Rattus norvegicus: one gene and its partners. The protein of the gene in region 1 binds, or shares a complex with, the protein of each later gene. Links are inferred from orthologs where the notes say so. Each region holds a gene or a part of one and is shown in the gene's direction. Other genes may lie near its edges. The genes, in order: Snrnp40, Crnkl1, Bcas2, Lsm3, Prpf6, Cdc40 and Cd2bp2.

Region 1 (4,263 bases):
TGACATTGCTGATCAGAACTACTGTTCATGCTCCCAAAATGGTCTATTTGTTCCCAGTAAACCTCCCCTTATCTCTCCAGTTTCATCACACCATTAAGTCTGAGGGATCAAGCCATCTTCTGCACCACATTCTGGAGAAGAGAGAAAACTTTGACTGGCTTCCTATTGATTTTAAAGTAAAAGCTTCAACTTCCTGCAAATCTTCATGACCTCCGGGTTCATCCCATACCATAGTCACTTCAATCACTCTCTCTCAGCACACCCGCTCAGACCCACTGTGTCTCAGTCATCTTCCCAACTGATAGGGCATTGCACATGCTGTTCTGTGCAGAACGTTCTCCCTTTCTCTCGTCCCATAATTAGAACTGTCCCATCAGATAGGAACAGCTCAGCCATCTTTTCTTTTGAAAAGCCTTCAAGCTTCTATTAGTAACTCATAGCATGAGGCATCGCTCGTTCAGGTAGTCTTCCGATCAACTGGTGAGATTTGCTTAACACGTTTCCCACACCCTGAGGTAGGGGACCATGTTTCTTCAGAATGACCTCCAACGCACTGCATCATAAATACCATTTGGACCACTTTCTTTTTTTTTTTTGGGGGGGGGGGTTCTTTTTTTCGGAACTGGGGACCGAATCCAGGGCCTTGCGCTTCCTAGGCAAGCGCTCTACCACTGAGCTAAATCCCCAACCCCATGGACCACTTTCGAGAAGGCCTGGTACGTAAGCACGACTATTTGACTTCTCAATAAAGTTGTGCTTTGGGGAGCCATCTGATACTTTCCTTATCGCTGGCTGTCTCGGGGACATAAATAAGTCCTTAGAAAAGACGGCTAAAGCAGTGACAAAACTAAGTCCGCCGCCTCAGCCAAGCCAGGCACTGAAGCCTGGAGGCCGGGAGTCGGGCCTGGGAAGGCCAGCACAGAGTGGGATCCAGAATCGGCATCCTGCAGAGCAGCTGTCAATGAATAGCGGCCTGAGAGTTCGAGTCCTGCATCCAGAGATCCCAAAGCTCTGCTCCAGCCTACCAAAGGACTTCTCTTTCCGGGGACTCTTTCCGAGGACATCCCCTGCCACACCCCGCTGCCAAAGCTGGTAGCTGAAAATGGTAGGCTCAGGCCTGACTCGTAACTTCCAAATTGTAACAACCACCCGCCTGATTCCCCACACACTCACTCCGCGTCCGCTCCTAACAGGACAGCCGCTTCATCCCTAGGAACACTGAATCTGCTCCGCTCGTTCTCACCCACAATGCACGGCGCGCCTGAGGGGGCGGAGGAGAACGTCAGTTCTGCGACCCAATCCAGAGTGGAGTTCTCGTGACGTCATCAAGAAGAGACCAATCGCAAGAGTGTATTCAGAGGGCGTTGCAGAAGGAAATGTTAGAAATCGATTGGTTGCTCTCTTCCGGAAGTTCTGGAGGAAGAACTCAGTTGAAACCAATTGCGCAACGCCTGCTGCAGGCGGCGCGGTTACTGGCGGCGCCGAGGGTAGTGGTTGCCGCCATGATCGAGCAGCAGAAACGCAAGGGCCCAGAGCTACCCCTGGTTCCCGTCAAGCGGCCGCGACATGAGTTGCTGTTGGGAGCCGCAGGATCCGGCCCCGGAGCCGGGCAACAGCAGGCGACTCCGGGGGCATTGCTGCAGACGGTAAGTGAGGAGGCATCCCCCCTTCGGCCCCCAACCCCTCTTCCTACGGATGGTATCAGCTCTGCAGGAACGGAAAAGCAGTGAGCCTGAAGTTAAAATAGGCCTCTGTAAAGGTGCCTTGTGTTCTGTGTGTGCTCCATACGTGTTTCCCTGTTAGACGCCTGTTTTTAGCCCTTCCGGGGCATTGAATCATTTAAAACTTTGGCCTCAAAGTCAAGACCCAAGCTTCCGCATCCTAAATCTTCAGGGATTTAGCATAAAAGAAACATTCAGGAAAGTTGGCAGAGTGAACGAATGAATGAATGAGAGGAGAAGCAATGCAAATGAATGATAGTGGCTCGCTTTGCTACCTGGTACAGCTTTTTCTTTCTCTGCATTTATAATAGTAATTAACATTAGTTGGTTCTTGGATGTTTTGCGTGTGAAATTTCCGTTAATCTTGATAACAGCCTGGAAGCAGCTGTTATTTTGCAAAATGGGGAAAGCAAGCTTTTTTGAATCAGAACCCATGCTTTTAACTACATGTCTTGTAAAATAGTAATCACACCCGCCACACGTTCAGATGAGGAAATAGGTGTACTCCTGCCCCAACTCTTTAACCAAATCCTTTTGCGGTGGTCTTTAAAATATACAAATAAAGTGAGCAAGGCGTGTGGGACTGTAGTTCCAGCTTTCCAGAAGACCGACAAGAAAATTTTAAGGGAAGGAATTGGAAGCCAACCTGTACAACATAGAAAGACACTCCCACCCCACCCCCCAAAAAAGCTGGATACACACATTTATAATCATCACTTGAGAAACTGGGGCTGGAAGATCCAGGACTTCAAGCATCTAAGCTATTATTATGGCAAAATCCTGTTGAAAGGAAAGAGAACTGTGTAACCTTGATCCTTGCCTTCTAAAAAAAAAAAGGAAATTCTCTGTAATAATTCCCCTCTTTACCTTGTTCATCTACTAGTTTTCTGGCATGTCACTTGGCTCCAGACACACACACACACACACACACACACACACACACATATATGTTCTTACTTTTTCTGTGGTGCATTGGCTGGGATGTTCTTGTAAATGCCCACATGGTCAACTATTGACTCTTTCAAATCTTTGCTCAGATACTAGCTTTTCAGTGGGGCTCTTCTGACAACTGTATTTTAGGTTGAAGTGTCCTGCACTCTGGAACCCATATTGTTTCTTCCCATGGCACACAACAGGGGGTGTTTTACTTGGGTTTGCTTGTCTGCCTTTCTCACACTTTGTACTAGAATGCAAGGTCTATTGTTTTACCAAGTGCTGTCTTCTCCAGCGCCTAGATATGTTAGGTGTGTGTGCGCTGGGGTTGGGGCTCAGAGGCCAGAAAAGAATGTTGGATTCTGGACTGGAGAGATGGCTCAGCGGTTAAGAGAACCCAACTGCTCTTCCAGAGGTCCTGAGTTCAATTCCCAGCAACCACATGGTGGCCCACAACCATCTGTAAAGAGAACCGATACCCTCTTCTGGTGTATCTGAAGACAGCTACAGTGTACTTATATATAATAAATGAATAAGTAAATCTTAAAAAAAAAAAAAAAAAAAAGAATGTTGGATTCTCAGAACCTGGTGTTACAGCTCTTGAAAGTTGCCCATTGAAGATGCTGAGAACTGAATGTGGGTCCTTTAGGAGAGCATCTCTGAGCCATCTCTCTAGCCAACAGGTAACATTTTTGTGACTAAATATACTGGATGAGTATGACCATGGGACATTATCTGCATTTATGGATATTTCGTAATAAAACCCATTACTTGGTGTAGTTAGTACATGATAATAAAAATAAGTAAGTATACTGGGATCTACTAAAGAGACTTCAGGATTATTGGTAATACACTGGTTCTTATTTGACAAGGTTGCCTAGGTTTAGTGTGCAAGACCACACAATCAAATCTACTTTGCTAAGCCTGACACAGTGATACACACTTGTCATACCAGCACTTAGGAGGACTGAAAATTTTTAAGACCAGCCTGGGCTACATATTAAGACCCCCGCTCGGGGTTGGGGATTTAGCTCAGCGGTAGAGCGCTTGCCTAGCGAGCACAAGGCCCTGGGTTCGGTCCCCAGCTCCAAAAAAAAAGAAAAAAGAAAAAAAAAAAGACCCCCCCCACCCCGCTCATGCCCCAAAATCTATTTTGCATAATAAACTGTACCCCACTGGGTTTTTCAAAGGCTAACTGGATGGACTAGAGACAGAAAAATGGAGAACGACCAGAGCTTCATTTCTTTGGGGAAAAAGAAAGGTATGAGCAATGATGTAAGAGAAGGAAGTTCAGGTAGTGATGGGGCTTTGACAGAGTGCCCTGGACCCAGTGGAATAAGGGGTAGGGGGGCTGCCTCACTCAAAATAGTGTGAGTGATGAAAGACAGACTCTGGGGAGGCAATACTTAACAGACACAAAATAAGGTGAGTGCTTCTATAGAAGACATCTTTCTCTGTTAAGACCCTGAGGCATAAAGGAGTTCAATGTGACCAAGCAGTCAAAAGTTGGCTGTGGAACAAAAACAGCCTTAGGAAGGAGAGAGCACATAGGGCATACGCTGGACTGTCCACGGGATTATCCAGAGGCAGGAGGAGTTCTGTGAGCAGA
Region 2 (4,154 bases), on another chromosome or scaffold:
GGGAATGGGGTAGATCCCGGGGAAAGCTGGAGGAGTGACTATGATTAAAATGCAAAACTCAAAGAATTTTTAAAAAATGCTTACAAAAATGAGTATTGGGCTGGAGAGATGGCTCAGCGGTTAAGAGAACTGACTGCTCTTCCAGAGGTCCTGAGTTCAATTTCCAGCACCCACATGGTGGCTCACAACCAACCATCTGTAATGGGATCTGATGCCCTCTTCTAGTATGTCTAAAGACAGTGACAGTGTACTCATATAAATAATAAATCTTTAAAAAAATTAAAAATTGAGTATTGGCAGTCAAAGGCTCAAGGGGAGAAGGATGAACAGGCAGTACCCTGAGGATCTTAATGGCTTGGAACTCTGTAGATTATAGAAACAGCAGACACAGACTATCTTGCCTTTGTCCTAAATCTCAGACAGTACAAGGGTGAACTGTAACAGCCTTTAACTGATAATGTGTCAGTGTAAATTCACCAATGCTGACGATGAACCACCGTAGGGGTGGGAATGGATCGTAGAAAGCCCTTTGAGGGTGGGGAAAGAGGGAGTAGGAGAAGCTCACCTTCCCAATTTTACCGTCAATCTCAAAATTTTTATTTAAAAAAATTATCTTAACTATATGCTCAGTAACTCTGTTTCTGAATGTACGTCGGATAGTATACATACTAACATCTAGCGAGCACTTTACATAGACAGATTTTCTCTTTAATCTTAAGGAAATAGGTATTTCTCTCATTTTATAGTCAAAGGATAACAGAATTGAAATAATGAAAACAAATTTACAGACTAAAAATTTGGTTTTTGTACCAAATGTACCAGTTTCTGTAGATGCTTTGCTACTAATTTCCACCTTTCTCTAACATCTTGTTGCAAAAATACCTCTATTTAAAAAAAAAAAAAAAAAATCCACGTTTCAAGATCATTAACTTGGCCCAATCGCGAGGAAGCCCGAGACGAGGGGGCGGGGACTCAGAGACTACAAATCCCAGCATGCACCGCTGCCCTGGCAGCTGCTTGCAAGGCTGTGGTTTCCTCCGCGCTCTTCCCTTCTCCCTCTTGTTTCCACTTCCGAGATGGGTTCCTACGCCCCTTGTCAGGTGCCACTACCTACAGCTGCACGCATCTTAGAGACGGACCTGGGTGAGCCCTCGCCGCCCGAACCCCATGTCCCTGCGGCGCAGCCCGCGCTACCCACCTCACCCGCAGTCCCAGCAAGCGGCGCTGCTCCTCTGAGGACGCGCACACGGTTGCTACGGAAACGACGCGGCGTTTCCCCTGACTGGTGAGGCGGTCAAAGGTCGCCTTGGCAAGTTCCGGTTCCGGTTCCGGGATCTAGTTTGTTGTGGGCTGGCTCTGTGGTGCTGGCCGCGGGATTTTGAGGCGTGTATCTGAAGTCCGGGTGTGGGCCAGGGTCGCTCGCGTTCCGCGGCTACAATCATGGCGGCTTCCACGGCAGCCGGGAAACAGCGGATTCCTAAAGTGGCCAAGGTAAGCGACCTCGAGGAGCCTCAAGCACAGCATCTGTGGTGTGGGGCACTAGAGATTCCGGACAGAGATCTTTGTGCCCTGGTCCAAGAAGACAGGTGGTCCATGGTGAGGTGGCACGGGGTCTTGTCACTCCGAGTTCGTCTCGCGTCTGCCCAGCCTTCGTTCCAGGGTGGTATTTTTGTGATGCAAAGCATCAGTTCGGTTCGGTAAACTCATTGCTTTTCCTAGTCTCTGGGGGTCCCCTACTTTTACTCGAGGCTACAGTGCTCCAATAAAACTGGAGGAAGGGCGAAATAGCAACCTTGATAGATGTAGCCTAGTCCCGTAGACTATGCTATAGGCAAGAACCAGAAGGGTGCCAGTAAACTTGAGGGTAAGCTTTGTGAAGGAAGCTAACACTGGAAGGCTGCGTCAAAGTTAGGCAGTGGAGGGGATGGGAGAGGACAGGCTCTGTGCAATGGCATCATTTAGGTTGGACAGTAAATTATTCTATTTCCAACGGTGGCTGATACTTCACCAATGCTTAATGAATATCAAGTCTTGCACTTAGCCATTGCATACAATCTTTCTCTGGTTTGATTCTTCTAGGGCCTTTTGGTCTTGAGACAGGTTCTTATTTCCACATGTAATTGTAAAAATCTAATGTGGTAGCTTTTCCCCTGCATCCTGAGTCATAAAAACCATGGTATGTGTCCTGGCTAGATTTTTTGACAGCTCGACACAAGCTCAAGTTATCTAGAAAGAGGAGTCTGGACTAAGAAAATTCATCCATAAGATTGCTTGTATGCAAGTTACTGATTGGTGCAGAGGGCCCACCCTACTTGGGCAGTGCCATACCTGGGCAGGTGGTACAGAGTAGTATGTAAGAACAGACTGAGCTTAGCTTGTATATCAGTCATGCCTCCGGCTTCCTGCCCTGACTTCCTTTCATGATGGACTCGTGGTCCAGTTGTGTAAGCCAGTCAATCAGCTCTCTCCTCTGCGGGTTGTTTTTGTTGGTGTTGTTCTATCACAGCAGTAAGAAAGCAAATTAGAACAGTATGTTTGCACTCAGGGTCCATCTACCTTGAACACGTTTGACTTGTGGCTACCGTGTTGGAACTAAAGCGCTTACAGGCTATTGGTGGAGACTTTGTAAAAAGAACAGTTTCAGTTGGCCTAAAATGTCATGGAAAACCAATTTGTCCACTCGAGGGGTTAGAGGAGTTAGTTCTCTGAGCAGGTGATAAAGAGGAAGTGGTACGATTTTCCCCCTGCCCCCGGTTCTGTCTCATGGAGAATTGAGGGTGTCATTCAAAGATGGCATCTTGGACTCATTCTTAGATCTTGTGTGGAGAACACTACCCAAAAGCAGGAATGTCTCTTTGTCCTAACAGGTGAAGAACAAAGCGCCAGCAGAGGTGCAGATAACCGCAGAGCAGCTCTTAAGGGAGGCTAAAGAAAGAGAGCTCGAGCTCCTCCCACCCCCACCTCAGCAGAAGATCACAGACGAGGAAGAACTAAACGATTACAAACTACGGAAAAGGAAGGTGAGTCTGTTAAGAATGCACTGCGTACGTCTGTCCAAGTCGCCCCCCACAGTAGGAGCGAGGGCCTGGGAGAGAACTCTGAAAGGGCCTATGTGATCGGACCTCAGGCTAGTATTTGGGATTATTTAATGCACTAATATCGTGGAAGTCATACGTAAAATTCTACGAGTTACCGAGCACTTGAAGGTAATGTTAAAAGTTGTTTCAACATTCTTATTCTTAATGAGAGTAGAATTTATTAAAGCACTCGTTGTTAATTGCTACGGAGAACAGCAAAGCGTTCTAAAAGACACACCTTACATTTTTCTTGATGTCACCATAAACTTTAGAGAAACACCTGTCATTGTCCCCCTTCTGGAGGAAGGTTCTTGTTCCTCAGCATCTAGGATATATTTTCTCTTAGAAAGAATAAAATGAGTGCTGTATATTACAAGGGGGAAGCAAAGTCATTTTCTCTTTGATACACTCTCTTCACTCCCCTTTTGCCTTTCAGACTTTCGAAGATAATATAAGAAAAAACAGAACTGTGATTAGCAACTGGATCAAATACGCACAATGGGAGGAAAGTCTGAAGGAAATTCAAAGGTAAAGTGCCACGACTATAGTAACTGTCTGCAAAGAGTGTGCAAGCCAGCGTGTGAGAGCTGGGAAGAGGAGAGCAGGGAACTGTGCCGTGTCAGCAATTTCCAGCTTCTTTCCAGGGAGCTCTCTGAGGCACTCACTGGGAAGGACAGTCAAGGGGGTGTCTCAGGAGGTTCTAGATGTGGGTCTTGCTGCTAGTACTCCTGTCGCTAAGAACAGTGTTTTGTCTGTTTTCTGTGTTAATTGGATATTGTTTCAAATATAGGAGTGTTCTCCTGAAATCTGTTGTCAAGATAAAAATCATGGTGGCCTTCACTGCCCGTTGACTAGCCTTTCTACCCTCGTACCCATGTTCCACTGTGACCATGTCCTTGCCAATCCTGAGCACATCATTGCTCATTACTGTGCCATTTGTTTGCTCTCTGCCTTGACCCCTTGAAGGCACCTTTTCTTCACCAACCTTGACTTCTGAACAAACTGCAACTATCTCTCCCATTCTCAGTTCCAGGAGCTCCTGCAGCTTAGCCTGTTTCACCAAACATTGCCATTTCT
Region 3 (4,215 bases), on another chromosome or scaffold:
GGAGTAATATTCTATTACCACAAATCCTAAAGGCAAAGGGATTGGGTTTTATATAGGCTCTAAAGACAAAAATGACAGGATTTTATCATTAATCTTTTTAATCCTGATCACAGCCTCCCCTCCATCCTGTCCTACTCCCTCCCTCTCACCTTTCCTATCCCCATCTCACCCCACCCTTTCTCCTCAGAGAAGGGGAGGCCTCCCGTGAATATCAACCAGCCTTGGTATATCAGGTTGCAGTGGGACTAGGCACATCTCCTATTGAGACTAGATAAAGCAGCCCAGTTGGGGGAAAGGAGTCCAATGGCAGGCAACAGAGTTAGACAACCCCTGCTCCAGCCATTAGAGTCCCACATGAAGACCAAGCTGTACATCTGTTACATATTTGTAGGGGCCTAGGTCTGTCCGTTGTATCTTTGGTTGGTGGATCAGTCCCTGTGAACCCCTACGGGACCAGGTTAGTTGATTCTGTGTTTTCCTGTGGTGTCCTTCCTCCCCCTCTTCCACAAGATTCCTGGAGCTCTGCCTAATGTTTGGCTGTGGATCTTCGCATGTTTCTAACAGCTGTTGAACATCATGAATAGTGTCGGGGTGGGCTCTCTCTTATGGGATGAGTCTCAAGTTGGGCCAGTCATTGCTTGATCATTCCTTCAGTTTCTGGTCAATCTTTATCCTCATACTTTTTATAAGCAGGACAAATTTTGGTTTTGTGGGTGGGTTGGTGTTCCCATCTCTCCATTAGAAGTCTTGCCTGGTTCCAGGAGGTGGCCATTTCAGGTTCCATATCCCCTGTTGCTTCAAGTCTTAGGGTAAACCTCAAGTTTCCCTTTTCCTAGATTTCTAACTTGCTCCAGAGTTGCCCCTGCTTCGTGGCAGAGCTTTTAAAATGAGGCATTTTGTATATATAATACAGTCCTGGGAGGGTTGAGGTGTTTGCAGTGCCAGGGACTGAATTGGTTTTGCCATTGAGCCGCATCCCTCACTCAGGTTGTTAGATCTAAAAATTTGATTGGAAAATAGGCGCAGATTTCTAGTTTCTATAAAAGAACATTCTTAAGGGGCCAGCTGCGAAATGAGGATAAAACAAGGGAGTGCTTAGAAGCCCAGCACCATGGCGAGTTTAAACAATGGAAGGTTAAAGGATGTGGAAATCTATTTCTCCCCTCCAGCCAAGTCCAGCAACCGCCTCTTCCCAAGTCTACCCTACCCACTCCTTCGAAAATAACCCACGCGGTACCCATACAAAGAAAGTCACCCTGGCATGTCAGCATGTGATAACTAATATTAGAGTCTAGCGGCTACAATTACCAACTGCACAGGCGCCGGAAGCGAAAAGCCAGAGGCAGCGTGACGTCATTCCAGGCGCAGGCGCAGAGAATCTAATCGAGCCTGCGCAGACTCAGAAGGCGCTCTTGGAGTACAGTGCCGCGCGATGGCGGGCACGGGCTTGGTAGCGGGGGAGGTGGTAGTGGATGCGCTACCCTACTTTGACCAAGGCTATGAAGCGCCTGGCGTGCGGGAAGCGGTGAGTGCAGGGCATGTGCGGCGGGGCCGCCGGAGGCACGCTGCTGCCCTTTTCTCGCCGCGACCCCGGCCTGTTCTCGTTCTTAGGCTGCGGCCCTGGTGGAGGAGGAAACGCGCAGATACCGACCTACCAAGAACTACCTGAGCTACCTGACAGCCCCAGATTATTCTGCCTTTGAAGTAAGTGTGGTGTCCTGGGCCCAGCACTCTGACCAGGAGGCTTGCGGACTTTGATTTCGGATTGAGAGCTTTAGCTGTGTAAAATGAACGTCACCTTCCAGGCTAACTGGTGCTTGCTGCTCATATTGAGTGCCATATAGGTATCAGTCGGTTCAAACCACCAGATGAGCTTTTCATAGGGTCTGTACTACAATAACCCGCGAATGACTTCATTGGTTTCTGCAGACTTGTTGAAGAGTGCTCCCCACGCCGTGTCTCTGTGTGTGTGTGTGTGTGTGTGTTTTAATATAAGAGTCATAGTATATTTCACAAAAGAACCCTTTATTCTCCAATGTCTATTCAAAAACAGGTATTAGATTTTAATATTTATAATCTTAGGTGCCTGTACTCTTTGCCACCACTGGAGGGAGATTTTTGTACCAAGACTCCGATAGTTAGCAGGTGTATGAATGCCTGAACAAGTACGTCTTAATGGTTATCCTCAAAGTGCAACCAAAACACCATTTAGGCCCTAATCAAGTAAATGTGCGGTGTCGTTTCTAGATTAATGAATTCTGTTAAATTTCAGTCCACACCTGTTCAGAGTTTCTCCCCACCCCCACCCTGCTACACTACGAAGATGTTAAAATACTTTCAGGCTGAAGGAGAAGGAGAAAGACTGCTCCATGTACAGGGATGTGTGATTCTTTCGGATCCAGATCCCAGGTTTTTAAACTGGGTTGTGACTCCTCAGTGGGGGTTTCATAACTGATGTGGGAGCTGCAAGAAATTTGGCAAGAGTAAAAAGTACTAACCCAAAAATTAATTGGAAAAAAATCAAGCCCCAGATCCAAGTGCTGGTCCATGTTACATCATGTGACTTCACAGGTTACGCTGTGTCAGACCGTCATGCAGCACCAGAGACTTCCTGAAATGATTCAAGACTGTTACTTTATGTTGTGAATTATAACGTGACATGGGGCTGGGGTTAAAGTTGTTTTCAGAGTTCCACAACTGATTGCAGAGCATTGAAGACTGCTGATGTAGGGTTAATCCTTGACAGCTGGGCTCTTCTAGGTTCACCTCCTATCGTGCCTAGGTAGAATATGGAATTAAAGAATATGCCTATTTCTTCAGATTCTAGATAGCGTTAACCTCAGAGCAAACTGAGGGGTGTGTGAGGGTGTAGTATAGTGGTCCTGGGTTCAAATATTCGCATCCTTTTTATTTGAGAAGTAATTGAGAGAGGAGAAAAGATTCACTATAATGTATAGTATAAAGTATAAAATATAAGTAAATTACATTCATTATTTTCAACATGATCCTGTCACTAATTCTTTGTGTTGTTTGTGCATCAGACAGACATAATGAGAAATGAGTTTGAAAGACTGGCTGCTCGACAACCAATTGAATTACTCAGCATGAAGCGGTAAGATGAGGCTAAGCTGTGGTAACCGCAGCGCTGCCAGAGGTTGGGAAGAGTGTTTGCTGCTGGGCATAGGACGTGGGAATAGAGAGAACTGTAATCATCATTACTACATTAAAAAAAAAAAATGCTAGCAGATATAATACAGTATTTTTAAGCAACTTTTTAAAAAGCTGATAAGCAGACTTTATGTAAGAAGGGTCATGGTAGACGAACAAGGACAAGGGACATGAGAGTCTCTGTGACTCACAGCTTATTTACCTAGTTTACATTTATGGAAGTAGTTCTTTGTTACAGTATACAACTGTGTTTTTATCTGTCAAGATCAGTTTCCAAACTAACAGGTTTCTTTGTACTGCCTGGCCTACATTGTGTCCTTGGTCTTTTGCACATGCAGGGTCATGGTCAGGGGTTGATACTTTGTGTCTCTGCCTTTATGTAATGGGCATATGTCTGTGGAAAGGGGTGATGAGTCTTTGCGAGATACATTGGTTTATTTGTTATGTAATTTCAGATATGAACTGCCAGCCCCTTCCTCGGGTCAAAAAAATGACATCACTGCGTGGCAAGACTGTGTAAACAATTCTATGGCCCAGCTGGAGCATCAGGCAGTGCGGATTGAGAATCTGGAACTGATGTCACAGCATGGGTGTAACGCCTGGAAAGTGTACAACGAGTAAGAGGCGCTGGGCTCTCTCTTATCCTGTGCCACCCAGGGTGGTATGTGCATGCTTATCATTCCAGCACTTGGCTGGGAAGCTGGGGTGTGGAGGAGGGCCTGCCTGGCTTATATTTTGAGTTTAGTCACCCTAGGCTCACCTAGCAAAACTGCATGTCCAAAATAATAATAGCAGTTGTGCTAGACTTGACTTGGGGCTGTATCAGAACAGAGTGAAAGGCTGCATCTCGAGTCCTGCCTTAGAGTTCACTAATGCTGAGCTCTTTTACGTCCACATAACTCCCACACTCACTGTGCGGTATAAGAAAATGAGCTCTGAGGGTGATCTGCAGAGCACCACTTGATAAAATGCAGTCCTTAACGTGTGGATGCTTAAATAATGGATTCCCATGTTCATGTATCATGGTACTTAAGTCTTGAACACAGA
Region 4 (4,283 bases), on another chromosome or scaffold:
CTACCTTAAGATGATCATGGAGTGTCTAAGACCTGAAGCAGAGAGGAAATTAGCACCAGCAAGAGCCACAAAGAACATTCTAAGCCAAAGAAACACCAAAGGCTGAGCCTCCAGATAAATAAACAGTAAGTCTAAAGAGGAGAAAGATGGTCAGAGAGAACCAGGCATGGTGACATCTGCAATCCCCGTGATCAGGAGGTAAATTAGACTGGAAGATCGACTTCTAGGCCAGCCTGATATTTAAACAGGAAAAAAATCAAAATAAGAGTATCTGGAGAGGAGACAGAGTAGAATTGTGACAACCTCCAAATCTTGTGGGAAACAAGCTAAGAGAGGTAGATGCTATACTTGGAGAGCATAAACCTAAGGAGGTTTTAAGTAAGAAGACAGAGGCATAAGGTTTTGTTGTGGTTCTACATCCATTTGGCTGCTAGATGATGGGGCAGACAGATGAGAGGAAGCCAGAAAAGAAGCAACCTGAAGTTCATTTCCTTAACGATATGGACAAGATCTCTAGCTATAAAATTAAGAGAATTAAGTACAGATTTCGGTGGTTCCAAAGCTGAACTGGACTTGATGCCGAACTGGCAGTTAAGAAGAGATGTGTTCTAACGTGTGTTTTAAAAGGGATGATTTATTGAAATAGAACAACTGGGGGGATGGATATGTTTAAGGGGAAAGATGGATCTTGTTCAAGATCTAGATTAAAAACTCATTCCAGCCAGGGCGTAATGGTGCATGCCGGTTAATCCCAGCACTAGGGAGGCAGAGACAGGCGGATCTCTGAGTTTGAGGCCAACCTGGTCTACAAAGCAAGTTCCAGGACAGCTAGGTCTACACAGAGAAACCCTGTCTGGAAAAACAAAGCAAAAAACAAGAGTAACAGAAAGCGCATCCTAAAAACCCGGAGCTGGAGTTACACTGGATGGCAGTCAGGAACTTGATGAGAGAGATCTCTCACTACAGGTCTCCCTCGGTCCTGGTTTTTGGCATCTCCTGAGATACCAGGCAATTGCGAAGCTTTCTCCAGCTCGGCCTTCAACACTTGCTATGGGGCTGAACTTGGTACTAAAGGTTAACCGAGGGGTTAAGACAGATAGCAGAGGCCCTCGGGGGCTGGAGGGGGGACGCATCGGGCCGTAAAGACCTTGCGGTAGACACAGATCCGCTCCGCCGCCCGCCCCAGCCTCCGCCACCATCGCCTGACATGCTGCAGACTTGGCCTCTCACCCGCATCGCTCTCCTCAGGCCGGGTTGCTTTGTTGTCCTCGGCTTCCTGGCCGCGCTTCCTCCGCTTTCCGCCTGCGGTACGCTTTCGGGCCATGCTAGCCAGAGGCGTTCCTCCGGACAACCACGCAGGACTGCCGAAAGTCTCCGCGTGCCGGCTCCGCCCCGAGGCGTGCCATGCCTGGCCGCACCCCCAGCTCCGGATAGGACCACGCCCTCCAAAAAATCCCGCCCCCATGCAAACTACAAGGGCGCGAAGGGACAAAAATAGTGTAGTTCGCCTTCCAGTGCGTGGCGGCCCAACGTTTCCTAGTGTCTGCTCTCGCGAGAGGTGGAAAGGGCGCAGCGTTTGAAACATGGCGGACGACGTAGATCAGGTAAGTTTGTCCTGGGGCGTCCGAAGAGGAAGTGCTTTCGTTTCTTAGCCGGGCTTGCTTTTTCCACGCTTCCCGTGGAATGGCCCTTTTCTTTTTCCCGAGTTCCCACGGCCTTCCGCAGCCAGGCCTGCTCCTAAAACTTCCGTAGGCCCAGAGTTTCTCAACCCGCCCATCTGCCCATCTCGCTCGTCGTCGCCCTTTCTCTGTAGAATGCAGACGGCTGTGGATATCCCATCTATGGGAGATACGGTCGGGATTCCGACAGAAAGAGTACTGTAGCGGTAGGACACCAGCATAGTAATACGTGTAAGCACCTGGCACGCAGGCAGTGGCTCACTTGGAGTGTGTTACGAGGGGAGGTCAGATAAAAGGTGCAGTTATGTGAGATAGAGAAACTGCTAGAGATGTAGTATATAGAAAACAAGCAAAGACCTGGCACACAGTGTTTCTCTTCAGAGCATGTTGTTTTAAATGTGTTCTTTATTTAAAATGTTCGTTCCACAACTAGAATATAAGTTCCTTAATAGGGATTTATTGGGGCTTAGTGGTTAAGAGCACTTTTGGCTCTTGTAGACAACCCTGGCTGTGTACCAACACCCACATGTTGCTTTCACTGCTTAACAGTGATTGAAACACCACACTACCTCAGTGTTCCATTACTAAGCCTTCTTCTCTCATCAGCAACAGACCACCAATACCGTAGAGGAGCCCCTGGATCTTATAAGACTCAGCTTGGATGAGCGAATTTATGTGAAAATGAGAAATGACCGAGAGCTTCGAGGCAGATTACATGTAAGTCTGTTAAGTTATCTCAAAACCAGATGCTCCCCTGTCATCCCTTCCTACCTCCTTACAGATAAGAACTGCAACATAAACTTATTTTTTTTAATTATACAATGACTTTTGGGAGTTGGAAATTCCTTTATTGGCTTTTAAAATATTTTTTCCTTAACCAGAATGTTTTTTAGAGAGGGATGGGACTCCTGTGAGACCAGAACAAGGCATCTGATTGCCCAGAGCTGGAGTTACAGACAGTTGTGAGCTGCCTGGTGTGGTTGCTAGGAGCCAAACTCAGGTCCTCTGCAGGGATAACCAGTGCTCTTAATTTGAGCATCTCTACAACCCTGTAGAACACTTTTGTTTTCTTCAGCTTTGTCCTCTGTTTATTTAAAATGAATAAACTTCTTTTTGTTTTAGACAAGGTCATACTATGTAACCCAGCTAGCTTCAAACTCAAGATCCTCCTGCCTCTCTCTCCTTAGAACTGGGATTTTAGACATGCACTACCACTCTTGCCATTGTCCTATGTTTTTAAAAGTTATTGGACAGGGTGTTTTGGTTTTCGACATATAAAACTCTCCTTTGACATGAAAAAAACTAAATAGCAGGCCAGAGATCGTTCACCTAGTATGTGGCAAAGCCCCTAGCACTACCAAAAAAAAATTAAACACCATAGAAATCTAAAGGTGAAATTCCATTTTCTCTGCACTATTCAAAGTTGGCTACATAGTCGTCCACATCTTTTCTGCATGTGTATATGCTGTCTGTGTTTGAAGGAGGATCCTAGTGAGGTACGGTGGCATGTGCCCATAATTCCAGTACTTAGATGACTGAGGTAGGAAGGTCATATATTTGAGGCCAGTCTGGACTACATAGTGAAACCTTGTCTGGTATGTACACACCTTTTCCACACGGTTTCTGTGTGGAATGATTATGCAGCTGACACAGTTGCCCAGGATTCTCTATAAGGCTTCGGTCACTTTTTTGTTTTTCCAGCCTTAAAACTGCATTGTGCACTTTTACATATATTGCTTGTGCACATTTATGATGCCTGTGGAATTGGTCCCTTGAAGTAGCATTATTGTGCACTTAGGGTTTTGTCTCTTCTTGTTACTTTCCTCAGAGCTGTTGGTTTACAACGGGAATTGGAATTAAGTCTTTTTAGTTCAGGCTTAGAAATAGCCCCATACTGGCACCCACAGAGCCAGTGTGGGGGACAGTCTCAGTCTTTCTTCTATGAAGAAATTTTTAGTTCTTTCATGAAACCTGAGGATAAAGAACCTCTGTGACTTGGAAGGAAATTGGACTGTTGATCTACAAGCCAGCATTAGGGAAACAGCGGTGCCAGTTTGGTGAGAAACATGGGATGGAGCTAAATTGAAAGGCTCTTCGGCACATGGAATGACCCCAGGCTAGACCATCGCCTTTAGTTTGGAGGTGTCTGAAGCTCTTACCTCTGTAGTAAGTGGCCCAGGTTTCTGTTTCCTCCCTGCTCTCCAGCTGAACATTTTGCTCATTTGTGTAGCTGCCAAGCAGTTCCTTCTCAATGTGGCGCCTGGCTATTTTTAATCTTGATATGAGCAGGCAAAAGCACTTAGCACTTTGTTAGAAGAACATATAAGTGGGTTCTGAACAAGCCCCAGGAGGTTTGCTGTTAGTAAAAGGGATGAACTTTGGAGGTTGCACTAAACACTGTGGTTGCAATCCTTCCTGCCTGAGCCCACAGATGCCAAAGCATGTTAAGCTCTGGACAAGTTATAAATGGGCAAAGTAAAGGTGGGACAGATGATTGGTGGGTAAAGTTTGAGTGCTGAAGTTTAGATCCCTAACACCTGTGGAGACCCCAGAACAAGCTCTTGCGTTCAACTTAAAGACACTACCTTAATACATACGGTGGGG
Region 5 (3,500 bases), on another chromosome or scaffold:
TTTGTTTGTTTTTTTTTTTTTTTTTAAGTTGGCAAATAAAACAGAATGCCCCTGCACATGTTCTTCTTGGTATTTTTGTTATTTTATTTGAGACATGATTTGGCATGTTATTGGCTGTCCTGATCTATGTAGACCAGGCTAGTCTTGAACTTGTAATCATTTGCTTGCCTCTGACTGCCAAGTGCTGGTATAAGCTACTGTACCTAGCTTTCTGGAGGAAAGGAAGATAGTCTCGTGTAGCCTAGCTGGCTTCACACAAAGTGTGTAGCCAAGGATGGCCTGATCCTTCCACCATGATCTTCAAAGTGCTTGGATGCTAGGCGTGCACTTCCATACCAGTCACTAGAAAAACAACGCTTTTTCTCCTGTTCCCCTTTTTCTGTGCTCTGTGTTTGTTAACCTGTCTTTTCTTAAAGAGTGTTGGATAGTGTGCTGGTACACCCGTAATTTCAGTACTTAGGAAGCTGAGGCAGGAGCATCACCTTGAGCCTGAATCCAGCTTGGGTTATAATATGAGATTCTGTCTTTTAAAAACATTTTTAAAACCTTCAGCCGGCGGTTTGGGGAGACGAACCTTCCACCTTAGACCATGGCCAGGTTCATCCATAACTTCGCAGAGAAGGTACCATTGATGGTGGCCGCTGCCTGACTTACTCGAAGCCTTGATTGGCCACACTTTGGCACTACGCCAAGGTTGAGCTAGTTCCCCCAACCCCTGGTGAAATCCCTACAGCTATTCAGAGCGTGTAATTCAAAGTGCTAAAACTGGTAGCTTCAACCACCTTACAGTTAAGGAAGCTGTGCGAAATGGTTTGGTGGCCACTGAGGTGTGGATGTGGTTTTACATTGGAGGGCTAGGATGAAAGCCGTGCTTCACCTTGGCCGGCTTCTTTTTAGTTTTTTTTTTTTTTTTAAGATTTATTCATTTATTATATATAAGTACACTGTAGCTGTCTTCAGACACACCAGAAGAGGGCACCAGATCTCTTTACAGATGGTTGTGAGCCACCATGTGGTTGCTGGGACTTGAACTCATGACCTCTGGAAGAGCAGTCGGGTGCTCTTAACCGCTGAGCCACCTCTCCAGCCCTTCTTTTTAGTTTTTAATTTTGGAAACTGATACTCAGTAAATTGTCTAGGCCAGTCTGGAACTCATTCTGTAGCCAGGTAAGCCTTGAACTTTGGTCATTCCTGCCTTAGCCTTCCAAGTAGCTGGGATTACTGGTCCGTGCTATCAGACACGGCTTATTATGGCAATTTAAAAATTTATGATTAAGGGGCTGGGGATTTAGCTCAGTGGTAGAGCGCTTGCCTAGGAAGCGCAAGGCCCTGGGTTCGGTCCCCAGCTCCGAAAAAAAGAACCAAAAAAAAAAAAATTTATGATTAAAATAGTAGAATGAGCTTTTAATTCCAGCACTTGGGGAGGCAGAGGAAGGTGGATCTCTTGAGTTCAGGGTTAGCCTGGGCTACAGAATGAGTTCCAGGACAGCCAGGGCTACACAAGAAATCATGTCTCAAAAAAGAAAAAGATTAGTACAATGAACTTCCATATTGAAATTTAAAAAAAAAAAGTTGAAATTACCAGCCTTTTACTTAAGACTTTCTGGACTTAGGTCCGTCTTAAAAAGACATTTTTTTAAAATATGTTTTCTTGAAATTTCTTTTCATGGAACTTTTAGGATCAGTATCTCTATGTGTCTTGGTTACTTTTATTTTCTCTTTTCATTTCTTAGAAGAGAGACACTCTAGAGTGGCCAAGTTTTTTGAAATCTCAAAGCCCACCTCCAGTGGCACATCCTCTCCAACAGGGCTACACTCCCTAAGCCTTTCCAAATTGTTTCACCTACTGGGGACCAAGTATTTGTATATGAGCCTATGGGAGCCATACTTAAGTGTTCTGAACTGCTGAGCTGTCTCTCCTGCTTCAGCCTCTAGGTTTTCTATTGATTTATCACTTTCAGTGATGCCGAAATTAATCCCGCAACATTAATCCTTGTAGAAGATTTCTACACTTTTCATGTAGAAGACATTTTCTCATCACTAACTGTTGTTTGAGTCACAGTAAGATTGTTTTTTCCTGACTGCTTTTCATGAGATTTGTCGGGTGGGCCTTCAGGGTTGTTGGTAATTCGTTGTTTTAAACATTGCTGGTCATGACTAGCTCATTCTCCCCTTTACCTATCTCACAGGTATCTGACTCAGTGAGTGGGCAGACTGTTGTGGACCCCAAAGGCTATCTGACGGACCTAAACTCTATGATCCCAACCCATGGTGGCGATATAAAGTGAGTATGCTGCAGAATTGATGGGTTGAAATGGGAACTTTAATTGCTTACTATGTTGTGGAGTTTTTTTTTTAAAGAATATACAGTCAACCCCAAAAGTACAACAATGCCAAGCAACCAGAGCTTCCAGGGACTAAGCCACTACCTAAAGACTATACATGGACTGACCCTGGACTCTGACCCCATAGGTAGCAATGAATATCCTAGTAAGAGCACCAGTGGAAGGGGAAGCCCTGGGTCCTGCTAAGACTGAACCCCCAGTGAACTAGTCTATGGGGGGAGGGTTGGGAGGGGAACACCCATAAGGAAGGAGAGGGGGGAGGGGGATGTTTGCCCGGAAACCGGGAAAGGGAATAACACTCGAAATGTATATAAGAAATACTCAAGTTAATAAAAAAAAAAAAAAAAAAAAGAATATACAGTCAAAATATGACATGGATGTTCTGAGAAATTAGAAGTGTATTTGTGTTCTTTTACTATGTATATTAAATATTTTACAAATAATAAGGTCAATGCCTGTGGTGAGCTAGAAAGCAGCTTGTAGATTGTCTGGTGTTTCCTGTCTGGATATTCAGGCTTCAGTTTGTTTACTCAGTGCCCCCGTAGAGTAGCTCTTTTGGATTTTATGTCTTCAGCATGTTTCCCTTAGCAATTTATTCTGTGTCTTAAGGGGATGCCTTCTCCCAGGCTCTTGCCACACCCTCTAATAGTGTGGCCTGATTTTTTGTGCCTTTTGACCTTTACAGTGACATCAAGAAAGCACGACTACTTCTTAAATCTGTTCGAGAAACAAACCCTCATCATCCACCAGCCTGGATTGCGTCAGCTCGCCTGGAAGAAGTCACTGGAAAGTTACAAGTGGCTCGAAACCTTATTATGAAAGGGACAGAGATGTGCCCCAAGGTAAAGCCATAGCAGCATATTCTCTCGACAGCTGCATGTGCCCATACTAGAGTCAGAGCAAGGTTATGAACAGAAGGAAAGGAAAGTCTTTACGACTTTTGTGTGGAGCAGAGGCTGGCCTAACATAATGGCAGGGTCAGCATCACTGAAAGTGATAAACCTGGCAGCTTGTCAGGTCACACAATATAGAAAACCTAGAGTTGACTCAGAAGAGATGGCTCAGCGGTTGAGAGCATGGGCTCGTCTTCTAGAGGACCTAGACTTGATTTCCAGGTGCCATAGGGCAGCTCACAGCTGCCTGTCATCCAGTTCC
Region 6 (3,500 bases), on another chromosome or scaffold:
CTGTGTGTGTGTGTGTACACTTCATTGCCTTGAGATAGGGTTTCTCACTGAACTGAAAGCTTCCCAGTTTTGGCTCACTGCCTCACTGCCTCACTGCCTCACTGGCTAGCCAGCAAGCTCCCAGGATTCATGTCTCTGCCCCCAGTGCTGCATTTACAGACATGCACAGCCATGCCTGGTGATTCAAACACAAGTCCTCACACTTACACAGAAAACATTCTTACCAACTGCGGCATCTCCCCAGCCCCTGAAAAAAATATTTTTAATCATTTAAAAAAAATTCTATGGAAAGTACCCATGTGGTGGTTTTAAGAGTCGAGCCACCCTTCCTCAGAATCAGTGAGGACCACTCAGTAGGTCTTCATGCTGCTGCCATCCTCTGGGAGTCAGACTTATGTTTCTGTTTAATTTGACTCTTTGTCTAGGACAGTGTATATCAAGATTTACAAACCGCAAAGTACCCTATTGCGTCAAGTTCAATCCCGATGAAGATAAGCAGAATCTCTTTGTGGCCGGGATGTCTGATAAAAAGATTGTACAGGTAAGTCCTTCTTCAGTATGTCTGTCAGGATTTGTGAGCTTTAGGTTGTCTGAGGAAAGAGAACAGCATTCATTTTGTTGATGCCTGCCACTTTGAGCATCCACTTGTGTTGTGCTCAGAAGGTAGCAGTTAGTCCCTAGACATGGAGTGGGAGGAGTCAGTCCCTAGAGATGGAGTGGGAGGATCAGTCCTTAAACATGGAGTGGGAGGAGTCAGTCCCTAAGCATGGAGTGGGAGGAGTCAGTCCCTAAGCATGGAGTGGGAGGAGTCAGTCCCTAAGCATGGAGGGGGAGGAGTCAGTCCCTAAGCATGGAGTGGGAGGAGTCAGTCCCTAGACATGGAGTGGGAGGAGTCAGTCCCTAAGCATGGAGTGGGAGGAGTCAGTCCCTAAGCATGGAGTGGAAGGAGTCAGTCCCTAAGCATGGAGTGGGAGGAGTCAGTCCCTAAGCATGGGGTGGGAAGAGTCAGTCCCTAAACATGGGGTGGGAGGAGTCAGTCCCTAAGCATGGAGTGGGAGGAGTCAGTCCCTAAGCATGGAGGGGGAGGAGTCAGTCCCTAAGCATGGAGTGGGAAGTCAGTCCCTAAGCATGGAGTGGGAGGAGTCAGTCCCTAGACATGGAGTGGGAGGAGTCAGTCCCTAAGCATGGAGTGGAAGGAGTCAGTCCCTAAGCATGGAGTGGGAGGAGTCAGTCCCTAAGCATGGGGTGGGAAGAGTCAGTCCCTAAACATGGGGTGGGAGGAGTCAGTCCCTAAACATGGAGTGGGAGGAGTCAGTCCCTAAGCATGGAGTGGGAGGAGTCAGTCCCTAAGCATGGAGTGGGAGGAGTCAGTCCCTAAGCATGGAGTGGGAGGAGTCAGTCCCTAAGCATGGGGTGGGAGGAGTCAGTCCCTAAGCATGGAGTGGGAGGAGTCAGTCCCTAAACATGGAGTGGGAGGAGTCAGTCCCTAGACACGGAGCACGAGGAGTCTGTCCCTAAGTGTATCTGGCTGTCCTCATGAGTGCTCCTACCTCTGTGTGTGCCTTCCCTTGTTGCTCACAGTGGGACATTCGCAGCGGAGAGATTGTTCAAGAGTACGATCGGCATTTGGGGGCTGTCAACACGATTGTCTTTGTGGATGAGAACCGAAGATTTGTGAGTACGTCTGATGATAAAAGCCTACGAGTTTGGGAATGGTGAGTGTTCATCAGAAAAAACCCGACTTACGAAACAAGCAATTAAAAAATTATAGCCAAAGCTTGATAATATGCCACAATTTTCTTGTCTTCCAGCTAAAGTGTGGTAATTATTTAAATACTGACAATTTGGAAATTGAAATCTAAACATTTATAACTACCCTTCACAATCTTTAAAGACTCTCCCAAGAGTACATGGATTTAAACTTGGTTTATTATTGTTGTTGTTTGTGATCATGATAATTGTCACATCTCACATTCCTTTTTTAATAAATTATAAATAATTTATTCCATGTACATTGGTGTGAGGGTGTCAGATCCCCTAGGGCTGGAGTACAGTTGTGGGCTGCCGTGTGGGTGCTGGGGATTGAACCACAGCCAGTGCTCTTAACTGCTGAGCCATCTCTCCAGCCCTGATTTACATTGAGTGTGTGCGTGTGCGTGTGTGTGTGTGTGTGTGTGTGTGTGTGTGTGAGAGAGAGAGAGAGAGACAGACAGAGAGAGACAGACAGAGAGAGAGAGGGAGGGAGGGAGAAAGAGGGGGTAAAGAGAGAGAGGGAGTGTGTGTGTGTGTGTGTGTGTGTGTGTGTGTGTGTGTGTGTGTGTGTTTCACGTTTCCAGTGGTGAGTTCTAGAGAGCACACTCAGGTCCTGAGGTTTGCACGGCAGCCCTTTCTTTCACCTGCCAAGCCATCTCGCAAGCCCCCCTCACATGCTTCACTAATACCTTATTCATCTTTACAAAATGGCGGGCGAGGTATAGGATATTTGGCTACGTTTAGTTATGTGAGAGTCACACGTAGAGATCCTGGCCTCAGAACAAATCCAAGGAAAACACCACATCGTTTTCTTCTGGCCTGCTTTGTAACCATCCAGGCCTTGAGTTGCCTCATATCATCAGCTTTAAACATCCTGCTTGTTGAATATAATCAGAATATAGAGACTACTTTTTCCTTTTATCCAAAGAACATTGTTTTTCTAAAGTCAAAATAGTAAATCCTTAAGCTGGTTTCATTAAGTATCCTGATATTTTTATGATTTAGTTGAAGGAAATACATAGTAATCTTTCTAATTAAAATCAGTTCTTGGGTGGAGCCCAGCTTGTACTTCTAGTCACACAGAACAGCGAACTCAGTGGAGACACAGCCTGGCTGGGACTAGAAAGGGCACCTCCCTCCCTCCCTCCCCTAGAAGTAGCAGTTTAAGAGAAAGTGGCAGCCTTGAACCACTGCCAGAGGCTGCCTCCTCAGACTGACTCCCTGGGAGAGCCAAGTAGGCAGAATAGGCCCTCATTATTGTCGGGATAATTGAGGTCAATTCGGATTCAGTGCAAATGTCCATTTCTACACCTACACTGTCCTTCCAGATTATCACCGAGGACACTGACTGGACTTTGTATCTTACCTTACTGTTTAGCTGCAGGCTTACTGATCACTGTTCAGTGATTAGGTCTTCTTCAGAAAAGGTACTTCTTAGGCCTAGAGATTTAGTGGGAGAGTGCAGGCCTAGCACTGCAAGGCCCCCAGGTTCCATTCACAGTGGGGGAAAAAGGAAGAAGGGTGGGGAGGAGGGGGAAAGAGAGAAAGAAGGAGAGGCCGTTTCTTACCTAGAATCTGATGTGGACACTGAGTGTCTTTGTTTGGTTTGGTTTGTTGTTCGGTTTGCATGTAAGCATGCGGTGTGTGCACACATGTGAGGGTGTGTGTGTACATGACCATCCACATGTATACAGAGGCCAGACGAGGACATCAGGTGTCTTCCTCTATCTCATAGTCATGCTTATAGG
Region 7 (4,131 bases), on another chromosome or scaffold:
AAATTGTCCAGCTCTTGTTTTCTGTGGCAAGCTTTTTGCCCTCCAGTCTGGGTCAGGATGATAAAGTCTTCTGATAAAGCTTTTGTGGCCATAAAGCAAGAGTTCCACTTGGCAGATCTTCTTCAGGATGAGGATCAGGGTGTGGTCTCCAGGTAGAAGAGAAAATTCCTTCCAGATGAACCAGTAGTGCTGAGAGCTGGTGTTTTTTCAGGGTCCTGTCTATAGCAAGATGCTCTCTTGGTGTAGGACTTGTGTTTCTTTTACCTACAGAAGAAACTAAGATCACACCTTCAATGAAGTTTCACAGTGATTCAGAATGGGAGAAAACCCTGGAGGAGAAAGGTGGTGTCCGTTTGGCCACCCTCTTCCAGCTCTAGTAGGATCACCTGAGCTATCTAGCCTGAGGGTGGGGGTGGGGCAGAGGTGTTCAGGTTTTGAGTTTTTTCCCAGAGCTCCAGATCTAAACCTCACTATTAAGTTAGATCTCACTGGTCCCACCTTTGCAGGAGCTGAATTTCAGCACCTTGACAGTTTGCTAAGGGGTCGGGGTAGGCTTCATCTTGTAACTAATTCAAGAGCTTTTTTGGGACCTACACCTGAGAGCAGGGCACCATGGGCTTCTGCCTAATTACTCAGCACCAATGCCAGCGCCACCTCCTGCGACGGCTGTCCCACTACAGAAACTAGGAACTAAGTGGGGGAATAGACATGGTGCAAATGACTTCCTGGGTTCTAAAAGGATTTGGTTTGGAAAGTGCCCGAGTGCTTACAACCAGAAGCAGGACTCAGGGAGAAAAAGATTTAAAAAAAAATAAATGGTCTCATGTTGTATCGCAGACTGGCATCAATCTCGCGACAATCCTGTTTCAATTTCCTGAGTGTTGGGATTGCGTTAAACTCGGAAACCCGAGTTTCTACTGAATGCCATTAGGCGTACATAATCCTATCCATAAATGCAAACTGAAACCCAAGGCCCCTGTTCGGTCTGTGTCCCTCCAACCGGGCCTTGGGAACCTCTTTTAGCAAACAGAACGCCACGTCTTCACCGTCTCCTCCATTGCAGAGGAATAATAAAACATTTCCCGCCATCTTCAAATCCCGTGAGGCAAGTACGGAGTTCACGCGAGTCTTTGCAGGTCTTACGTTACTTCCTGCGGAGAGTCGGCCTTGGCTAAAGGGATACATCCGCCCGTTCTGCCAGTCTTTTGGATAGAAGTGAAGCCACTTCCGGGTCCTATGGCAGTCTTCACAGTCTTTTTCCGGGTGATGGAGGCGGATGCCCCGGATGTAATACCGGCGAAAGCATCTTTCCTTTTCTTTCCCGTCTGACCCTGGATTCCTAGGTGAGCGTCAGCGGGTAAGATTGTTTGAATCCCTGCGGCTTTGCCTCGCTTCTAGCTTCTACGCCGAGTTGGACATGGCCGAGCAGGTCGCTATGTGGAATTCGGGTTCCGAGGCTACTAAGGCGCCAGCTCTTGCGTCCGACCGGCCTCTGAGGGCACTCGGGTGGGAGAGGTGGTTGAGCTCTGTAGCTTCGGACTGGTAGGGAAGTGATGACGTGGGGGGAACCTGCTCCCTACCCTCCCACACACCTAGGTGGGAGTACCCACAGGGTCCACGCGGGGGCGGAGATCCTTCACATGTTCTCCCTTTTGGGCCCCTGCATTGCCAAATCAATTCCGGACGTCGTACCTGCTAGTTCTTTCAGATGGTTTAGTGATCGGTCCTCTCTCAAATTTACCAGGAAAAATCTTTGTGGAGCCTGTACACTCTCGCGGCCCTCTCTTGTTACTTAATTTCCTCACTTCCTATCTTTTCCCGAGGTCCAGCTGGAGGAAATCTATTGCCAATCATGCCAAAGAGGAAAGTGACTTTTCAGGGTGTTGGAGATGAGGATGATGAAGATGAAATCAGTGTTCCCAAAAAGAAGGTGAGATGGCCAGATCTCTAAGTTCTATGGAGGCCTAAGGGGAAAGGAGAGGGAGCAGTCCAACGGGAGAAAAGCTGGAAGCCAAGGAAGGGTTAGTTTTTCCCAGTCACTGGGTTTGGAAGGATTCGAGTTTATGTACAGATCCTGGAATATTCGAGGAACTAGCCAGTCTTCCTTTCTCATTTACTTCGTCCTACTCATAGCTGGTGGACCCTGTGGCTGGAGCAGGTGGTCCTGGGAGCCGCTTCAAAGGCAAACACTCTTTAGACAGTGATGAAGAGGATGATGACGAGGGGTCCAGCAAATACGATATCCTGGCCTCAGAGGATGTCGAAGGTGAGCTATTTCCAAAGCATTAACTGTGTTGGAGGGACAGGTTTTAAGTAGGGAGGTGGGAGGTGTACTGCCTGTTTCTTTTTTGCATGTCTAGCATGGGGCCCCCCATGTCTTTGGTGCAGGTCAGGAAGCAGCTACTCTCCCTAGTGAGGGGGGTGTGAGGATCACACCCTTCAACCTGCAGGAGGAGATGGAGGAAGGCCACTTTGATGCAGATGGCAACTATTTCCTGAACCAGGATTCGCAGATCCGAGACAGCTGGCTGGACAACATTGACTGGGTGTGGCCCAGGATCTGTCCTGGCTGAGCTCAGCCTGGGAATGCTGGTGCTGGGCCTGGGTCCTGGTGGAGTTTGTAAGAAACGATAACTATCTTTCACTTATAGGTGAGGATCAAGGAACGGCCACCTGATAAGCAGCAGGTTTCGGACTCAGAGGAGGAAGGCAGCCTGGGTCAGACTCCAATGAGTGTCCAAGCCCTCCTGGAGGGACTTCTGGAGTTGTTACTGCCAAGAGAGACAGTGGCTGGGGCACTTAGGCGTCTGGGGGCCCGAGGAGGAGGCAAAGGGAACAGCAAGGGGACTGGACGGCCCAATTCTCCCCAGCGTCTAGACCGGCTATCTGGGTTGGCTGATCAAATGGTGGCTCGAGGCAACCTTGGTGTATACCAGGAAACAAGGGAGCGTTTGGCTATGCGACTGAAGGGTTTGGGGTGTCGGACCCAGGGATCCCATGACCCCACACCTCCACCCTCCCTGGACATGTTTGCTGAGGAAGTAACAGAGGGGGAACTGGAAACTCCAACCCCTACCCATAGAGAAGGTAAGAAGGGCACAAGAGGGGCAGTGTGGGCAGGAGACCGGGTGCTTGAGGCCCAAGTTTCTTCATTGTTTTAGAAGCAGATTCAGCTGGAGATGGTCTGATGGATGTGATGTGGGAGTATAAATGGGAGAACACGGGGGATGCTGAGCTGTACGGACCCTTTACCAGTGCCCAGATGCAGGTAAGCCCCTTCCCGCCCTGGCTGTCCACCCCAGCTTCTGTCATCTTGCCTCAGTTTTGTCCTCTGTTCTTACAGACCTGGGTGAGCGAAGGTTACTTCCCGGATGGTGTTTATTGCCGGAAGCTGGACCCTCCAGGCGGTCAGTTCTACAATTCCAAGCGCATTGATTTTGATCTCTACACATGAGCCCGCTAAGGGCCCCGTTTGGCAGCCCCTTCTTTCTTGAACTTGGCAGAGGAGGTCCCAACTGCCCTGGGCAGTGAGGATATTGGAGGCCACTCTAAAGCCAGTGTCTCTTTGTCAATAAAAGCCTTGAGTATGCATCAGGGCCTTGACTGGGCTAATGGCCAAAAGCCAAGGCTTCTCCATAGCTCCTTTTGGCTTCACCTGGTGGGTCCTTGAGTTTCCTCCCAAGAGACTTCCTCTCATGCTTCTCTGGTGTCTTGGACCACCTCCGTTTTGTTTCCCACCTTGGAGGCAGAGGGAGGGCCCATCAGGTGTCCTGTGTAAAATTCCCTCTATCACTCTGTTCTCTGTCATGCTGATCTTGGCTTTTAGGACCTCACATTCTCTGCCCTGGCAGCTCCTTTGTAGCTGGGACATTAGGAAGACTTTGAAATCCTATTGGGAGATCCTCTTAAACATGGATTCTCCCCTTCTCCCTAGTCTGGTTTTACTACCCCTCACCCTCCTGCAGTAGTTTCCATAGCTCTTAGGTGAAGTATGAACTTGGTAGCACTTCAAGGTTACTTGGGCCACCATGTGATACAGCGAGGGGCAAAGGGCAGGGACTTACTGGAGACCTCACAGTAAACTAGAGAGGTGGCCCATTCACCTATTCCCTGACCTTTCTTGGCATAAGC

The links.
Region 2: Snrnp40 (region 1) and Crnkl1 share a complex: the UniProt entries of both Homo sapiens proteins name them as parts of the minor spliceosome. The link is inferred for Rattus norvegicus from reciprocal best matches to the Homo sapiens genes SNRNP40 and CRNKL1.
Region 3: Snrnp40 (region 1) and Bcas2 share a complex: the UniProt entries of both Homo sapiens proteins name them as parts of the postcatalytic spliceosome P complex. The link is inferred for Rattus norvegicus from reciprocal best matches to the Homo sapiens genes SNRNP40 and BCAS2.
Region 4: Snrnp40 (region 1) and Lsm3 share a complex: the UniProt entries of both Homo sapiens proteins name them as parts of the U4/U6-U5 tri-snRNP complex. The link is inferred for Rattus norvegicus from reciprocal best matches to the Homo sapiens genes SNRNP40 and LSM3.
Region 5: Snrnp40 (region 1) and Prpf6 share a complex: the UniProt entries of both Homo sapiens proteins name them as parts of the U4/U6-U5 tri-snRNP complex. The link is inferred for Rattus norvegicus from reciprocal best matches to the Homo sapiens genes SNRNP40 and PRPF6.
Region 6: Snrnp40 (region 1) and Cdc40 share a complex: the UniProt entries of both Homo sapiens proteins name them as parts of the postcatalytic spliceosome P complex. The link is inferred for Rattus norvegicus from reciprocal best matches to the Homo sapiens genes SNRNP40 and CDC40.
Region 7: Snrnp40 (region 1) and Cd2bp2 share a complex: the UniProt entries of both Homo sapiens proteins name them as parts of the U5 snRNP complex. The link is inferred for Rattus norvegicus from reciprocal best matches to the Homo sapiens genes SNRNP40 and CD2BP2.

What each region holds. Positions count from the first base shown.
Region 1 is NC_086023.1:147,983,327-147,987,589, forward strand, and holds the start of Snrnp40 (U5 small nuclear ribonucleoprotein 40 kDa protein), read left to right. Parts: upstream 1-1,463; 5' UTR 1,464-1,502; coding exon 1,503-1,646; intron 1,647-4,263. UniProt on the Homo sapiens protein: Required for pre-mRNA splicing as component of the activated spliceosome. Component of the U5 small nuclear ribonucleoprotein (snRNP) complex and the U4/U6-U5 tri-snRNP complex, building blocks of the spliceosome.
Region 2 is NC_086021.1:153,804,815-153,808,968, reverse strand, and holds the start of Crnkl1 (crooked neck-like protein 1), read left to right. Parts: upstream 1-1,354; 5' UTR 1,355-1,440; coding exon 1,441-1,491; intron 1,492-2,867; coding exon 2,868-3,020; intron 3,021-3,513; coding exon 3,514-3,605; intron 3,606-4,154. UniProt on the Homo sapiens protein: Involved in pre-mRNA splicing process. As a component of the minor spliceosome, involved in the splicing of U12-type introns in pre-mRNAs.
Region 3 is NC_086020.1:193,379,585-193,383,799, forward strand, and holds the start of Bcas2 (pre-mRNA-splicing factor SPF27), read left to right. Parts: upstream 1-1,415; 5' UTR 1,416-1,432; coding exon 1,433-1,525; intron 1,526-1,611; coding exon 1,612-1,704; intron 1,705-3,041; coding exon 3,042-3,112; intron 3,113-3,623; coding exon 3,624-3,785; intron 3,786-4,215. UniProt on the Homo sapiens protein: Required for pre-mRNA splicing as component of the activated spliceosome. Component of the PRP19-CDC5L complex that forms an integral part of the spliceosome and is required for activating pre-mRNA splicing.
Region 4 is NC_086022.1:125,576,702-125,580,984, forward strand, and holds the start of Lsm3 (U6 snRNA-associated Sm-like protein LSm3), read left to right. Parts: upstream 1-1,483; 5' UTR 1,484-1,583; coding exon 1,584-1,604; intron 1,605-2,285; coding exon 2,286-2,396; intron 2,397-4,283. Other genes in the region: Xpc (DNA repair protein complementing XP-C cells), read right to left, coding at 1,231-1,324. UniProt on the Homo sapiens protein: Plays a role in pre-mRNA splicing as component of the U4/U6-U5 tri-snRNP complex that is involved in spliceosome assembly, and as component of the precatalytic spliceosome (spliceosome B complex).
Region 5 is NC_086021.1:189,115,465-189,118,964, forward strand, and holds part of Prpf6 (pre-mRNA-processing factor 6), read left to right. Parts: intron 1-2,189; coding exon 2,190-2,284; intron 2,285-3,030; coding exon 3,031-3,187; intron 3,188-3,500. UniProt on the Homo sapiens protein: Involved in pre-mRNA splicing as component of the U4/U6-U5 tri-snRNP complex, one of the building blocks of the spliceosome.
Region 6 is NC_086038.1:45,862,979-45,866,478, reverse strand, and holds part of Cdc40 (pre-mRNA-processing factor 17), read left to right. Parts: intron 1-425; coding exon 426-541; intron 542-1,581; coding exon 1,582-1,715; intron 1,716-3,500. UniProt on the Homo sapiens protein: Required for pre-mRNA splicing as component of the activated spliceosome. Plays an important role in embryonic brain development; this function does not require proline isomerization.
Region 7 is NC_086019.1:191,241,092-191,245,222, reverse strand, and holds the start of Cd2bp2 (CD2 antigen cytoplasmic tail-binding protein 2), read left to right. Parts: upstream 1-1,331; 5' UTR 1,332-1,343; exon of another isoform or gene 1,344-1,357; intron 1,358-1,390; exon of another isoform or gene 1,391-1,429; intron 1,430-1,823; exon of another isoform or gene 1,824-1,829; 5' UTR 1,830-1,852; coding exon 1,853-1,930; intron 1,931-2,131; exon of another isoform or gene 2,132-2,133; coding exon 2,134-2,266; intron 2,267-2,388; coding exon 2,389-2,546; intron 2,547-2,651; coding exon 2,652-3,087; intron 3,088-3,161; coding exon 3,162-3,268; coding exon of another isoform or gene 3,269-3,343; coding exon 3,344-3,454; 3' UTR 3,455-4,131. UniProt on the Homo sapiens protein: Involved in pre-mRNA splicing as component of the U5 snRNP complex that is involved in spliceosome assembly.